Pelodiscus sinensis: one gene and its partner. The protein of the gene in region 1 binds, or shares a complex with, the protein of each later gene. Links are inferred from orthologs where the notes say so. Each region holds a gene or a part of one and is shown in the gene's direction. Other genes may lie near its edges.

Region 1 (7,548 bases):
GGATAAATGATCTAATATCTGTTTGTTTAGTTGTTTTGGGGAAGGTGAGTTATTGGGGTTTGGCTTTTGTTTTTGTTCTTCACTTGAAGCATCTGGTGGTACCACTGTTGAAGACAAGATACTGAACTAGATAACCCTGGGTCTGATCCAATATGGCAATTGCCATTATATTAATTTCAATTAGCTAATAATAAACAAGTAAAAAACAACAAATAGTCTAGTAGCACCTTACAGACTAACACAACATGTAGATGGTATCATGAGCTTTCGTGGGCGCAATCTGTTCATACCTAATTTTAATTGTGATGGGTTGTATTACAGCTTGACCTCCAATGTGCTGATCAAGCCACTGGTGCCTGCCTTCTGGGGATCCTCACAACCCTGTCCCTCTGGGCCAGAAGCTCTGATTCCCCCCAGCCAAGGCATAGAGTTGGGGGTTACAATCACCCTTCAAAACACCACAGATGCTGAACCTGCTCAGCTCTGTGAGGACTCAGCTATAACGCTGCTGGTAGCACCCAGGAAACCAACCCCACAAAGGAACCAAAAGCTAAAATAATTTAATCTTACTCTGTGTAAAACTTACACAGAGAAAGCTCATAAGGTCAGCCTTTTTTATCAGTGACAATTGTTTACACAGTATGAGGTGACATGATTACATGTCTTTCTAGGATCAGCCTCGTGTTTGGGCTTACAAGAAATAATTATGGGTCACGGTTTGAATACTGAGCCATTAAGTACCTGAAATATCACTAATGGACCTCATTAGCACATTTACAGTTAAAACCAGATTCACACTTCGGACTTCCAGCTTCGCATACAAGAATGATACACGCACAAAAATACGATATACAGACTCAGCAGACTGCAATTTTGAAAATATGCTACATGATCTCTTTTGCATAACACATGTTCATGTTATGCATATTCATATTTATAAACCAGTTTTCATAAAGCATGGGGGCATGTGACCATGACATCTATATTTTAGACAGCTAGAGCAAATTGAGATTTTCTTGTGGACTCTGCTGTAACTGGACTGAGGTAAGTGCTGTGTCTCATGAGTCACCAAGAGTTTCAATGTCTCAAAACAAAATTCTTTTCCCACTCCCAGTTCTTTGACACAAAAATAAAATATAGTGACACAAACATTTGTGACCTTGTTTGCCTTTTCCTTTCTCTTTTTGATGAATTGACTAATCCCTCCTGTACATGTTCCATCTACATTCATTTTTCCTCCCCTTCCTAATTTTCCTCTCCGGTTAGATGTCTCCAGTGTCTTTTTAGTTCCCAAAAGATCTTCTCTTCCCTTCTGCCTCCACTCTGGCAGGGCAGGAGGAGACTTCATGCGCTCCACCTGCTGAGAACAATCAAGGCTTAGGGGTGGAAGGAGAGTGTGAAGTTTCCTCCTGCCCTGAAAGGGGCTCAGCACTTAAATCAACTGCTGCTCAGCTGGTGATTGGCTCTAAGCAGGGTGCTCCCTTGCAGGGCTGGGGCAGGGAACGAGAGACTTCATATGCTCCCCCTTCCCAGGCCCTGATTGAGCTGGGGGCATCAGGAGGAGCATGTGAAGACTCCTCCCACGGCCAGGAGCAGAGGTACCTAGGGGGAACCACCAGCTGTTATCAGCTGGCAGTTCTATAGGGAGGCAATCAGGGTAAGTGGGTGGGGAAGGATGGAAGTGCCGGGGCCCCACTCTGTCTGTCTGAGGCCCTGCCCCTTCCAGGGCAGCTCTGGGCCACTTCAAAAATTTCAGAAATTTTTGAAGTGGCTCCTGGTCAAAAGTTATTGCCCACTCCTGCAACAGTCTGTATCTGCCTTGTCAGTGATCTTCACAAGCCACTAAGTGTCAGAAATGCAACTAATAGAAGAAAAGAGACAGACACAATGGCAGACAGACAGACACAATGGATGCGTCCAGACTGGCAAAATCTTGCCGCCTGTCTACACTGGCCGCGAGTATTTGCACAAGAATACTGACTTTGTACTGTTCAAAATTAGTGGTTCTTGCGCAAATACTCCAACGCTCCCACTCAGGGATAAGCCCTCTTGCGCAAGAGGGCCAGTGTAGACAGCCAAGTTGATTTCTTGCGCAAGAAAGCTCAATGGCTAAAATGGCCATCGGAGTTTTCTTGCACAAGAGAGCGTCTACACTGGCATGGATGCTTTTGCACAAAAGCAAATCTTTTGCGCAAAGGCACAATCCAGTATAAACGCTCTCTTGCGCAAATACTTTTAACAGAAAAACTTTTCCGTTAAAAGTATTTGCGCAAAATCATGCCAATCTAGACGCAACCACAGGGTGTCTTAACTACATCCCTCTTTCAAAAGAGGGATGTAGATTAGGCAGATTGAAAGTGCAAATGAAGTGGGAATTTAAATATCCTGTGCTTCATTTGCATAATTACATCACAGCATTCTTTTGAAAAAGGGTATTTCAAAAGTGAAACTGCTATGTATACCTGAATCTTTCAGGGTGGGGGTGGAAACCTTTTTCAAAAGATCCTGTACTCCTCCAAAAATGAGTATAGGAAAGGGTGTATTTTTTTTTTGAAAGAACCATGTTTATGCATGCCCATAGAGAATATGTTTCAGATGGCAGCAGCCTCCATTCTTTTGTAGCAAAGGTGTCTTCTATTCAGGGTGCTGATTGGAATGCAAAACTTTCTATCTTCTTGCTTAACGGGAAGGTGGGTTCCATGTGGTTTCTCTTTACTGGGAATGTCAGCCACTCAGCCAGTAAAGAAAAAACAGGAGAGTGGCCAAGAATTGTGTGAAGCATTGAGCTGAGGTTGCTGTAAGAATGAATCTGTGTGGTGTGCCAGAGCCAGACCTGTATTCACAGGTTCAGTATTTCAGTGTTCTTTCCTGGCAGGAATATTTGAGTTTGTGCTCCAAAAGTTAATGGATGCCACTATAGGACAATCACAGCAGATTACTGTATCATTACTGGAAATAATATATTCAACTTGGACTTTTTTGGACTTTTCCTTACGGAGTAGAGTCATTCAAGTACAATTTTCTGCACTTAAGTTGCATTGGCTTTAACTTTCTCTTCCATGAATGTTGGTTTAAAATTAGTTCATTTTTGCCTTAAACTTTTATTGTGAAATAATAATTCCAGTAGTTATAATGTTGCTATAATAGATGCCTCACTTGTAAAAACATAAAAAGATAGTAAATCCAAATGCAGTTGGAAAATACATCCTACTGACTGGGAATAAGAATGATGCAGAGAAGATGACAAGCAGTTGCCCTCATGAGTCCTGGTACAATGGATCTGAGCTGGAACACTTCCTCAGCTTTACTTCTGGTTTGGTGAAATTTTAGACCAGTATCTGAATGTGACAGTTACAAAAATTAATGTTTATTCTGTTATGGTACTTTCATATCCCTCTCACTACCCTCTTTTTCCTCCTTGGATGACTTGCAAGGTCAATGTCCTTTTACCAGTGCAACAACTTGCTCTCAGACAAGTTGCTTCAGTGGTAATGCTTATGTAATCATTTTTCGTTACTTGTATTAATAGAGCGCTATACACGGCTGAAGTCTATGTGCAACAGGTGCAGTTGCATCTGTGGAAACAATGGAAATTATAGCATAGATATGCACTTGTTTTTACAACCAGATTTTCTCCTAGAAGTTCATTTCAGAGACATTGTGTACATATTTCTCTATTGTACTGTCTGTGCTGATTGGGGTTCATTAGTCTCTGAGTTGTGTGGTAGCCTAATGTGCCACTTTCTTTCAGTGACTACTGAAAATAACTCCTACAACCAGAAGAAAACTTGCAGTTGTGCACAGTTGTAGTCTTGCAGCAGTTTGAGGAAAACTTTTTTGGGGTAGGGGGTATCTTCAGTAGTGTATTTTTTTCTTTCCCATTACTGAACATCTGTACCCTGGAAAGGGACAAGGGCATTTTGTAAGTATGGTGACGGGCTTTGCCATAGAGAGAAGAAACGTGCTGCAGAAACTGCAGGGTAGAGTTGCATAGTGGGGTTGGATTAATTCCTGGTCGTTTTGTAATCTTATAGGAATAATTTTTAAACAAAGTAATCTTTAATTTCTGGGTAGACCAGGCCCCTGGGGCCCAGGGGTAACCCATGGCACCAGAGACCTACTGCACGGCTGGAGCAGGATCAGAGGTTGGGTTAGTCGTGGGATTTCCAGCGACTTCGTTCCAGTGCCCCTGTCCTATTAATACCAATTGTTACAGTACAGGCGCTGAGTAGCACTTTCTGCCTATACACCTGCTTTTGCGGCTCTTCGTGCTGCAACCTGGAGCGGGCCCATCCGCAGCAGCTCCAGCAGCTCGGTAGCACAGAAGCTGTTTGCTGATTGGCGGTCTATGGCGGGAGGCGGCGGGGGTAACATTTCTTTCCCGCTCCCGCAGAGGGGGTGCTCGCCTCTGCTCCGCCCGGCGCTGCCGCTGGGAACCACGCGGGGGCGCCGCTGCCAGGCGCGGGGCACTACAACTCCCGACGGGCTTTGCGGCGGCCGCGACCCGCGGAGGGCGGGCGGCGCGCGCGCGCACACAGCCTGCTGAGGCCGAGCTGGGCGCGGGGCCGGCGCCCGTGGTGGAGAGCGGCCGAGGGAGGGGGGAGCAGGAGGCGATAGAGCCGTTGGCCGCGGGCTCCATTCATCGCCGCCGCCGCGCGCCCCGCCGCCATGGAGGCGCTGATCCCGGTGATCAACAAGCTGCAGGACGTGTTCAACGCCGTGGGCGCCGACATCATCCAGCTGCCGCAGATCGTGGTGGTGGGGACGCAGGTGAGCGGGCCCGGCCCCTGCGCGGGGAAGGGCAGCAGAGAGTGAATGGGGGGGGCTGGCCTCGCGTGGGCCCCGCCAGCCTGCGGGGGCGCCCGGCCCCGCCCCCAGGGGAGCGCCCGGCCCCGGCAGGGCTGTTCCCCTTTCGGCGGGGGGCGGGAAGTGGCCGGCGCCCGCTGAAGGTGACTGCGCTGCTGCCCCCCGCCTGCCGCGTCGGGCCCGCCGCTAGGCCCCCGCTCGAGCCTGGGCTTGACCTTCCTGCTGCTGCGGCCGCGCGCGCCGTTGGGAAGGGGGGTGTAGGAGGAAGCTCGGCGCTGGCCAGGCGCCTCCCCCTAACGCAACATCTGTCCGTCCCCCCCCCCCCCCCGCGTCGCTCTGCTCTCCTCTCACGTGGGGACGTTGAAGATCCCCTGCAGGTATGTGACTCTGTGGTGGTACATGGCCCCTGGGTGCAAGGGTTTAAAAACCACAACCCGGGGTTGGCTCAAAGCCGTTGCAACAAATGACTGTTTGAGTGAAGCCCTGCTAATAGGTTTTGTTTTTTTTTTAAACGTACTATTATTTCAAGGCATGCTACCTGCTTACGGGTGGCGTATCATTTTCTTTAAGGCAAGTTATCAAACTAGAGACCGCTCCTAAGTTATCCTGATCAGACTGAGAAATAGTTCTTAGAAAAAGCTTCCTGTGTAGTGTAGGGGTGTAAAATCCCATGTAATTAGTTAAAGGAGGGGGGGGGGTCTGAAGCAAACCGCTATTCCATCTTCTTTGGCCAGGCTGGAGCACCCCTGCTGCATGCCTGAGCTGGGCCTGCTGTGGCTCTGCTGCTTCAGCCCCCAGCTCCAGCCCCTATCCCTTACCCTGTCACCAGTAAGCTTCACCCATTAAGGGCAAGGCTTACAGCTTAATCTTTGAGTAGTGATAGAAATGTAGCCGTGTTAGTCTGGGGTAGCTGAAGCAAAATGCAGGACAATGTAGCACTTTAAAGACTAACAAGATGGTTTATTAGATGATGAGCTTTCGTGGGCCAGACCCGCTTCCTCAGATCAAATAGTGGAAGAAAGTAGTCACAACCTTTCTTCCACTATTTGATCTGAGGAAGTGGGTCTGGCCCACGAAAGCTCATCATCTAATAAACCATCTTGTTAGTCTTTAAAGTGCTACATTGTCCTGCATTTTGCTTAATCTTTCACATCCCTAGCTGTGTTTGAAACCCAAGTGTTGAGTACAAGGACACTGAAAGTGAAAGGAGTTAACAGTAGTAGAACTGTTGTTTTTTTTTTCATTTTCTACACTTGGAAGAATGCAGAAAGTGAAGCACATATTTAGTTACCAACTAAATTCAATTTTTAAAAACCTTTCATTTTTATGTAGTAATTTAAGGCACTCTGTGGGTTAAAAAGGAAAGGTTTACCGTAGCTATGTAAGTTGACCATATCCCTGTAATGATAATAGCAACTGGAATAGAAATTAGGCAGTGCCTATATATTTTGGCTTTACTTTGTGGTATAGCTACGTGAACAGACTAGAAATGTTAAAGACTAGTTAATTATCCGATAAACTTATCAGATAGTCTTTTGACTAGTCGATTCCCCCCTGCTCCCCGCTGCCTCTATGAGAGAGAGGCAGTGGGGGGAAAGGTACTTAAAAGTGGCAGTGCTGCACAGTTGGGGACTCTCCAGCTGACCCTGGGTTCCGCTGCCACAGCGAGCCCGGGATCAGCTGGGAGTCCCTAGCTGACCCTGGGTTCTGCTGTTGCACAGAGCCCGGATCAACTGGGAGTCTCCAGCTGACCCTGGGCTCCACAGCAGCTACCCCTTTGAAATGCCAGAAGCGGCATTTTAAAGGGGTAGCTGCCATAGAGCCTGGGATCAGCTGGGGATTCCCAGTGGCATTTCTCCAGAACCCAAAATCTGCAGCGCTGATCCCGAAGGACTCGGAGTCTCTTGCTGATTCTGGGCTCCATGTATTTGATATGCACAAGAGCCCCTGGGGTCTCCTGTGCATTTCAAAGCAGGCACCTGTGTGCAGCCCAGAATCAGAGGGACTTCCCTCTGGCCCCAGGTTGTATGCAGAGTTCTGCATTCCTGCGGGGGCTCTTGTACACTTCAAAGGAGGAGTGTGGAAGTGCCTGTTGACTAGTCAATTAACCACATTTTAACATCCTTAGAACAGACTCTTGAATCCCTGCTGACTTCAGTGGAGCTTTCCATGGGTACAGCTGTGTTACATGGATCTAGCTACATGGACTCACCTGCAGGATTGGTACATCTCCATCACAAGCAGGATCTCATGACCGTGAGTCTGAGCCTGTGTGTTCAGACTGGAGCTTGAGCTGAAGCATTAAAAATAAACATATAGACATTCAGATTCAGGCAGGATCTCTGGCTTTCAAGCTTGTTCCTCTCTCTAGGCTTTAGGGCAGCGGTTCCCAACCTTTTCGAGATGGGGACCCATTTTGACAATTCAGGAAGACTTGGTGACCCAAGGTAGTTCAAAAACGGGGGGAGGAGGAGAGGCAGAGCCACCTGGGGAGATAGTGACCCTTTTAAAACGTAATGGCCAAGGGTTGATAAATTATGGAAAACCCTACTCGCCAGACAAAAAAGGGACTTGCCACGCTCCCCCACAAAGTGGTTTTTTTTAATGGCATAAATTCCTAATAAGAATAAGAACAGTAATTACTAATAAGTTATTAATAAATATCACCCAGGTTATTAATAAGTATCTTATAAACCTCTGCTTTTTCTCTCTGCTGCCATGTCTCCTCCCATTGCTCCATCA
Region 2 (8,004 bases), on another chromosome or scaffold:
CTAACATCCCTAGTCATCACACCGACATCCGGAAACCATTCACAGGAGTGAGGGGATGCACACGCTGCTGTCCTAGATGTCAGGCTAGCTGCAGGAGTCACCCGGGCAATGGGATTCACTGGGGCTTTGGTCATAGGGTTTCCGCTAAAGATGATCTATAAAGAAGAAAAAAAAACGAACGGGGATTGGAGACCGTTTTTGCTGCTTTATAGCAGACAGCAGGCCAGGAAGGAAGCGAGTTTGCTGGCACCATTAGCTATTCAGAACTGATCTACTAAGGGAGGCTCTACGGAGAACTAGTAAAGTTGACACAAATGCACTGATTCGAAGGCCTTTGGATTGCCTGATCTGAGCTCCGGAGAAGAGACAGGCCCCCCAGGACCCCAGAGCAGGTCCCCCAGCAAGCCCAGAACTGCTGAGTGAGCGACAACAGATCTCCTAGAAAGATGCCCCGCTGAAATTAAGACTTCAAGTGACGGGGAATCCACCACAGGCCTCTTCTCACAAGACAGGGAAAGCCTCGCGGCTGAGAGAGAGACAGACTGCGCAGCGCCCAGCCGAGGGGAACTCCGCTCTTGGTTTCATTCCAGCATCCCTGTCTTTGCTAAAGTTCCACCCTCAAGCCCCTGGACCAAGTCGTGAGGGCTCAGGAAAACTAAGAAGTGGGATTGATGCGCCTGGCATTTCTAGGGGACAGGGAATGGAATTTAAAGAGCCTTTGCAGGCTGTCCTTAGAGAGCGAGAAAGAAAGAGAGAGGGTGTGTGTGTGTGTGTACACCTGCAGGAATGCACTGCAGAGGAGACAGTGGGTGTAGCAGGTAGAGCACCAGTCCAAACCACAAGGGTTTTATTCCTGGCTGGGCCACTGGCCGACTCAGTGAGCTTGCGTAAGCCACGTCGCCCCCTTGTGCCTCGGTTTCCCCAGCTGTGGAATGGAGAGAACCTTTGCAAAGCTCTTGGAGAGAAGCATGGATGAAAAGCCATGGAAGAACGAGCCAGTAGAATGATCGTAGGGGCAGCTTTCAACTGGGTCTACCTGCCCCTTTGCTCTCCGTTTGAAGCCTGCCGCGGGCTCTCAACGACTCCATGCGCTCACCTGCATTATACGCACCCCTGCCCCAAAGGCAGCTTCCCAAGGAGCACCCAGCAGCCAGTCTGGGCACCGCCGGCCTCAGGCCACTCTCACCAGTTTCTGGAGGGAAGAGAGCTCCTCTGGCAGGTAGCACAGGCCGGTCCGGTTCAGCTTCAGCCATCGCAAGCTGGTCATGGACTTCACGTGGTCCGGAAAATAGCCACCCTGAGAGGCGGGAGAGAGAAAGAGCCACGCTGGGCATCCGCTGGGCAGGGAAACGGGTTTCTCATCCAGACGGGGCGGTAGGATCCTGTGCTCTTAACACCCTCCCCACACCGCAGAGGGGAACCACCCACGGCCCCTTTTCCGGGATCCCTGCCAAATGCACCAATGTGACAGGCTGTTCCAACAGCGCGGGACTTACTGTAACTAGGGATGTTAGATCCCATGTAATCGAATAGTCGTGGAACCGCAGCATTTTAGCGGTCACACGATTATTTGATAGTCCCTGGGGACTCACACCGGGGAGCCCCCCGCCGCCCCACATGGCTGCCTCTGTATCAGAGGCAGCAGCGCAGAACAGCAGCAGACCCTGTATGCAGGGGTCTGCGCTCGCCACGGATAGAGGCTGTGCCAGCATCCTACGGAGCAGCCTCTGTCTGCAGCAAACCTGGGTCTGCCGCGGGCAGCAGCCTCTCTTGCCCCCCTGCCTCCCCCACACTGCCCTGGGAGCCAATCCTGAGCGGAGCAGCGGTCGGGCAGGTTATGCAAGATTAGGGGGCTGGGAGGCAGCATGAATCCCGTGGACGGACACTCGCAGGCCCCGATTCTGCCGAGGCTCAAGCACACGTGTAGCTTCATTCACAGGAGTTTGCTCCTCCCACGAGGGTGTTGTGCCCCAGTGTCGGTCACTGTGCGAGCCTGGCCTTAGCAGGCGTTTTGCTACCGCTGGTGGAAGGTTTCTAACTAGCAGCCTCCCCATCCAGGGAGAGGAGGGGCAGGCAGACCCACGCACCTGCAGGAAAGGGCCTTTCTCCCATGCAAAAAGATTAACCCAGATTGTGCAACTGCATTTGAAGGGCCTGTTTAGCGGCAGGTTTCACAACCCCCACAGCCACATCGCAGAGATAAACCCTGCGCCACCCCAAACCATACCAACGCGGGCCCACCGGCATGCGCCGCGCCCAAGGGCCATTCCTCGGATCAACAGCCTTCTAGGGCAGATCTGCCAACGCTGCCATGGGAGGGCTCCGGTGCTGGGGGAGGGTAATTGCAAAGGAAGAACCTGAATTTTAACCTCACAGGAGGGAGCATCTCTGCATGCCCCATCCAGGGCCGGCAGAGCGGCCATCCTGCTCCTCAGACGCGGTGCCTGGCAAGGGCCGGCATGAGCTCATTTCTCTGCCTGGCCCGGTTACAGTTTCACACACGGTAGGAGTCAGCGTGAGTGCAGCACATGGACTCATAGCTCCTTAGTGTCACAGGGAGATTATACAGGCCCAAACTGTGGGTCACGTCACAGCACCGGGCAAAGTTGGCTGAGTCACTTAAGTCACACGCAGACCAGCAAAACCACCATGGCCAAGGGCAAGCGATGGGCACAGGGAAACAGGCTGACCAGAGAGCATAGCCAAAGGACCACCAGCATCCAGCAGCACGGTCACCCCCTGGTCAGAGGTTAGGCTGGGGAAATAGATCCCAGGAGGCAAAGCAAGTGAGGGATCAGAGCAGGGTTGCATTCCCAATTCTGCCAGCGTGACCTGGGGCAAGCCCTTTCATCGCTCTAGGAGGGATTTTCTACCAGCAGCTCGCCATCTTTTTCCTTCCAAGGCCTCTTTCCCCAGAGCTATACAAACTCCATGGCCCAGCTGTGTTAGTTAGCACAACTGTTTTCCCGCATATAAAAGCCAGGGGCAGCAAGAAGGGGCCCCGGCCCCACATCTTAGGGGCTCTATGACGCTTCGTTTCTCAGGTTTCAACTTCAGTCCGGGGGTGCCCATAAACTTCAACTCCACCCAGAGTAGCTTTGGCTTTCTCGCTCGGACCCTAGAAACCTGCTGGGGTCCCCCACGCCGCGGATGGAGAAGGGCTGATTTACAGAATCCTTGCCCCTCCTCACAGGGACCAGGAGGAGATGCGATTAGTTTCAGTGCGGGGCGCCCTGAGTAAAAATGTTTCAGGGGGGCAGGCGAGTGAGTCTGGAACAGGAAAAACTTTAAAAACGACCCATAGTCTGTAGCCAGGAGGCCCATCACCCCCCAGAACCAGGGGCTCTGAAATTGCCCGGCCTCTCTGGCAACCCCCCCTGCTCTGGCCAGGCCAGCTCGGCCCCCTCCCAGCGGGATGTCAGGCCCCACAGTGCAGCCAGGGCTGAGCCACTGTCTAAAATTAGCCAGGCAGGAAACAGGCAGGGCCTAGAGGCTGGGAGCTGCCCAGCCACCTCCCTGTCTGTCGCCCAGCCCCGGGCTTTGCCCGCAGCCCAGCCCAGGGTGGGGGGGGGGCCTGCGGTACCTTGAAGTCGTTCCCACTCAGATCGACCCCCCGGATGAAGGGGAGCACCCCGGTGGCAGCCATTGCTCCGCTCCGCAGCAGCTGCAGCCAGCCGGCGGCAGGGCAGGGCGTGTTGCATTGACACCCAGCCTGCGCTCGCTCTTTTAACCCCTTCCTTGCCAGGGGCGCTGCAAGCCTCCCAGGGAGCTTTGCTTTTAAACAGCCCCCTCCGGGAGGAGACGTGATCGCAGCTGCCTGCCTCCACCCCTGTGGGGGGAGAATCCCCCTTTCTGTGGTCCTGGGGGAACCTGCCCCATTCTACCTTCATTGTTGCCTGCGGCTGAGAAGGCTTTTAAGGGGCTACTACCCCCCCCCCCGTTCTCCTGGAGCCCCCTGGAACAGTGGGAGGGCGAGAGAATGTTAATACTATTGGGAAGGATAGTGGGGCAAACTGCTAGGAAAATTACAGCCAGCTCTGGCCGATCTCAGAGGGCTTTACAAGCAAGGTCAGTATCACACAAAGGAAACTGAGGCAAGGGGCTTTCCCAAAGACAGCCCACTGGGGCTAGAACCCCACTGTAGGTCTCTCATCAAGGGTTACAGAGCCTAGGAAGGTTATCAGGTTTTAGGGTCTCACCTAGGCTTATGTAGCTGGGCCTATTGACTGTAATGCATTTAATTGTCTGCATTTAATGAAATGCATTACAGTCAATAGGCCCAGCTACATAAGTCTAGGTGAGACCCTAAAAGGGGGGCCCTGTGATCCAGGCCCGTGCCTATGTAGACAAGAGGAGACAGGTTATTAACAATAATTAATAAATATTAATAATTAATAACACAGTGCTGTCTCATTGGGGTCCCTCTCTGTATCTACCCGCTACCTCGTCTCCTACTCAGATCTTAAGCTTTTGGGGGCTGGCTGGGGCCCTCTTTTGGTTCTGTGTTTGCACAGCACTCAACCCAGTGGGCTGATCCTGTTCCAGGATTGGGGCTAGATACTCTTGCCACCTCTGAGCTACCCCAAACCCAGAACATCCAGGAAGATCCTGGGCCCATAAAACTGCACTGAACACCCGTCTCCCATTCGCAGGGCAGCTCACTCCAAAAAAGCAAGCAAAGGGTAGGGAACCTGCAGGTGACAGCTGTAGGAAGGCCCACAGGATGCAAATGCCTGCCTTAGGATCCCTGTTCCTAGTGGTGACAGGGTAGGGGGTGTCCAGGGCGGATTTCTGCACTGTCCCCCCTCCCTCGCGGAGTCTCTGTCAGCTCTGCATATAGGCCCCTCTACTACCCGGGTAGGACTAAGCGAAACCCCCAACCCCACCACATCCTCAACCCCTTCCTGCTTCTGTCCCGCTGCGCCTTTAAGGCGAAGAATTGCCGGGCTCCGCCCACGTGTGACGAAGCCGAGGCGAGGGGCGGGGCGCAATTGGCAACCGGAGGCTCTCGTTACATTTCGGAACGTTGGGACAACAGGCGGGCGCTCCTATTGGCCGCCTCGGCCCGACCGAATGTGACTGTCGCCGACGTTCGCTGGGGATCGGCCGTAGGGGAGCCGCTGCTGCAGTAACCGCGGGGCCGGCCGAGGCTTGTTCCAGCCCCCGGGGCCCGGGCCTTGCCGGGACCCGCCTTCCCCCGCCGCAACATGGCCTGACCTAGCGGGGCTCGCTGCTCAAGGTGAGTGCGGCCGCGCCGCTCCCGGCACCTGTCGGTGAGTTCCCGGGGCCTCTGGCTTAGTCTGGGGGGCAGCCTAACGAGGTGTGAGAATCTAGAGCGGGGGCCCAGTGATCCAGGCCCGGAGGAGGGGCGACACAGCTGGGGGGCCTGATCCAGGTTCAGTAGGGGAGGCACAACTGAGGGGGTTCCTGTAATCCAGGCTTGATAGGGCGGCACAGCTGAGAGGGGGGCCCTGTGATCCAGGCCCGGTGAGGGGCGGCACAGCTGAGAGGGGGGCCCTGTGATCCGGGCCTGGGGGGGAGCACAGCTGGGGCAGCTTTCTGTGATCCAGGCCGCTGTCTACGTGCTATCTTTTGTTTTTTACAGCAAGGGCACGTGTGGGGAGAGCAAAGTCCAGTTCCTCCTCCGTAGCTGCGCAGGTTGGGCTGGTGTCACAAGGGGATGGGGCGCGTTGAGTTAGGGTGCGGGAGGTGGGGGCAGCTTTGCTATTTCCTGTCCAGCTAAAGAAGGCCGCTGGGCATTTCTGACAGCACGTATCCAGTCCCGGCTGGGATCTGGCGTTGAGACCCTTTGGCTCTCTGGCCACACTATATCTACGGCTATCCATGGCTCCTTGTTGGCAGATACGGATACAAATTTGGTATCGAGAACCCTGCTACTTTGCCGTTATTTGCTTTATACCTATGGGTATCCACAGATGTGGGTGCGAATATCTGCAGAGCAGTTTTGCAGATGGGAATATAAATTTGGATCGGTGCTGGCCTCTGTTTATGTTTGAGGGACTAATAGACGAATTTCTACCCTCCAACCCAATTCCCTTGATGAGCCTGTTACATGTTCAGGGCCTTGTTGATTCCTTGATCCAGTTTTTGCCCTGTTGGGCCTATTTCAAACCATTCCATTATTCACTGGAAAAAACCTGAAAGCTTGAACTCCCAGCACAGCCCCGCTTGGCATTCTTGCTCGTGAGAGTTGTGTGCGGCTGTACCAGAGCGCCTGCTGGGGCAATAGGTATGCCTCCCAGTAGAGGTGTGACTGGGGAACTGGTTACCCAGTACGTGGGAGCAGCCTGATGTGCACAGAGGGGCTGCTGTAGCCCCGTGGAGGGCCCGGGAGCTGGAACCAGCCTTCCCACACTTGGGGCTGTTGGTCCTTGCCCATTGGAGCGTGTATTCTGAAACAGAAACTATAGCTGGGAAGTAGATTTTGAGCTCTTAATTCCCGGAGACTGTAGCCCCTAAGAAGCTGTTCCCATAGTGACATGGTGAAACTGAGTCATACTGGGATCATTACTCATGAGAGGTCTCTGCCATGTGAGGAAAGGACACAGATGAAGTGTGGGTTTCAAACTCTAGAAGTCTGAGCTGCCGTGTTCACTGTGCACTGTCCCGATGCCGCAGGGGTCTAAGAATTTGGCTGTGGCCCATTTGCTGCCAAGCATCAGTGGGGAAGAATCGCGCCTGGCCTGAGAAGTGACGTGCATGGTGGTCTCTTCTGTGGGCCGTGCGTGAATAATGCATAGCGGCTTGGGAAGAAACGGATTGTAAGTTTGCACTGTTAAACTGAGAGGAGGGATAAAGCTGGGTGGAAGTAGGACCAGACGGCTCCTTGATTGCTGGGGCTGTGAGGTGTTCACACCCTTGTTTTGTTCACTGGCTGATGGCAGCAGAATCTCCATGCAAAGGGATGTGTGAGGTGCCTTTACCTTGAATGGACTTGAAGCTCCTTGAGTTATCTTACACCGTGCCCACAGTGCATTTGTATGGGAGCCCCGTTTGATGCTCTGTAATTCCCTGTGTCCTTTCATCTGGAGCTTCATGACCCACGGGGTTATTTTTCCCATCTTGCAGATGGGGAAACAGAGTCACAGAGGTCACGTGACTTGATCGTGGCACAGCAGAGTATCACTAGTGGTCTGGAAGAGAACCTTGGATTCTGAACTCCCGGCCTCCTGCTTGGGCTACCGACTTCAAACTGACAAACTTGTCTAGAAACTGAATTCAAGCCCCATCTCAGTCAATTAATTTTCCATCACAAGTCAGAAAACCCTGTTGCACTAAATAATCTCCCTTTTTTTTTAGTGTCATTGTCTCTGTCACATTTACAGGGCAGGGTTCAGTAATTTGTGGGGGATACAATGTAGCAGAAACGTGTGAAATGGAAAACTTCTCTGATCACCAAGTGTTGGTTATTGAGACTGTTCTAACAACTTGAAGGCAGTTCTAGGTTGGGGGGAGGAAGGCATGGAGCTCAGTGGGAAGGCCGTGATAAGGAAGACGAAGGGGGAAATGGAGATGCAATTCTGTATAGCCAGGAAGGTAAGTGTGAAGAAGCTATCAAAGGGCCAAAGAGATCTTCTAGGTCCATTCCCTGCTTGGTCTCAGTTAGATTAAATGTCGCAGCTAATGGACCATCTGCTCCTTCCCCAGGGATGCTGTTCCACAAACGAGTAGATCGTTTTGGAAGGAAAATTTCCATGCTCTTCAATGTTCCCAAAGGTTCCACCAAGTCACCTTGGACCCCAGGTGCATCACCTTGTGTGTTTCTCTCTCTCTGCAGGTGGAGCATGGCTGAGCTGGTTCATAAAAGGGGGAAGAGGCGGGATGACAACGGGCTGGGTGGTGCTGTTGACTTCCTGTTGGCCAATGCCAGACTGGTGCTTGGGGTGGGCGGTGCTGCTGTGCTGGCCATCGCAACTCTGGTGGTGAAACGGGTAAGTCTGGGTTCCTCTGGAAGATAAACTAGTGTCCCTTCGGCACTCGTCA

The links.
Region 2: the proteins of DNM1L (region 1) and MIEF2 are in contact, whole or in part, in a cryo-EM structure (PDB 5WP9), measured with the Homo sapiens proteins. The link is inferred for Pelodiscus sinensis from reciprocal best matches to the Homo sapiens genes DNM1L and MIEF2. Residues at the interface, in NP_036192.2 of Homo sapiens: Asp190, Met191, Ala192, Thr193, Ser194, Leu197, Lys198, Ile199, Arg201, Glu202, Gly223, Thr224, Asp225, Asp228, Arg233, Val234; in NP_631901.2 of Homo sapiens: Val213, Asp214, Thr215, Val216, Arg218, Arg226, Leu230, Arg235, Val245, Gly246, Tyr248.

What each region holds. Positions count from the first base shown.
Region 1 is NC_134711.1:105,496,777-105,504,324, reverse strand, and holds the start of DNM1L (dynamin-1-like protein), read left to right. Parts: upstream 1-4,531; 5' UTR 4,532-4,668; coding exon 4,669-4,770; intron 4,771-7,548. UniProt on the Homo sapiens protein: Functions in mitochondrial and peroxisomal division.
Region 2 is NC_134726.1:34,201,267-34,209,270, forward strand, and holds the start of MIEF2 (mitochondrial dynamics protein MID49), read left to right. Parts: upstream 1-4,991; 5' UTR 4,992-5,239; intron 5,240-7,798; 5' UTR 7,799-7,805; coding exon 7,806-7,952; intron 7,953-8,004. Other genes in the region: FLII (protein flightless-1 homolog), read right to left, coding at 1,187-1,297, 3,584-3,646. UniProt on the Homo sapiens protein: Mitochondrial outer membrane protein involved in the regulation of mitochondrial organization.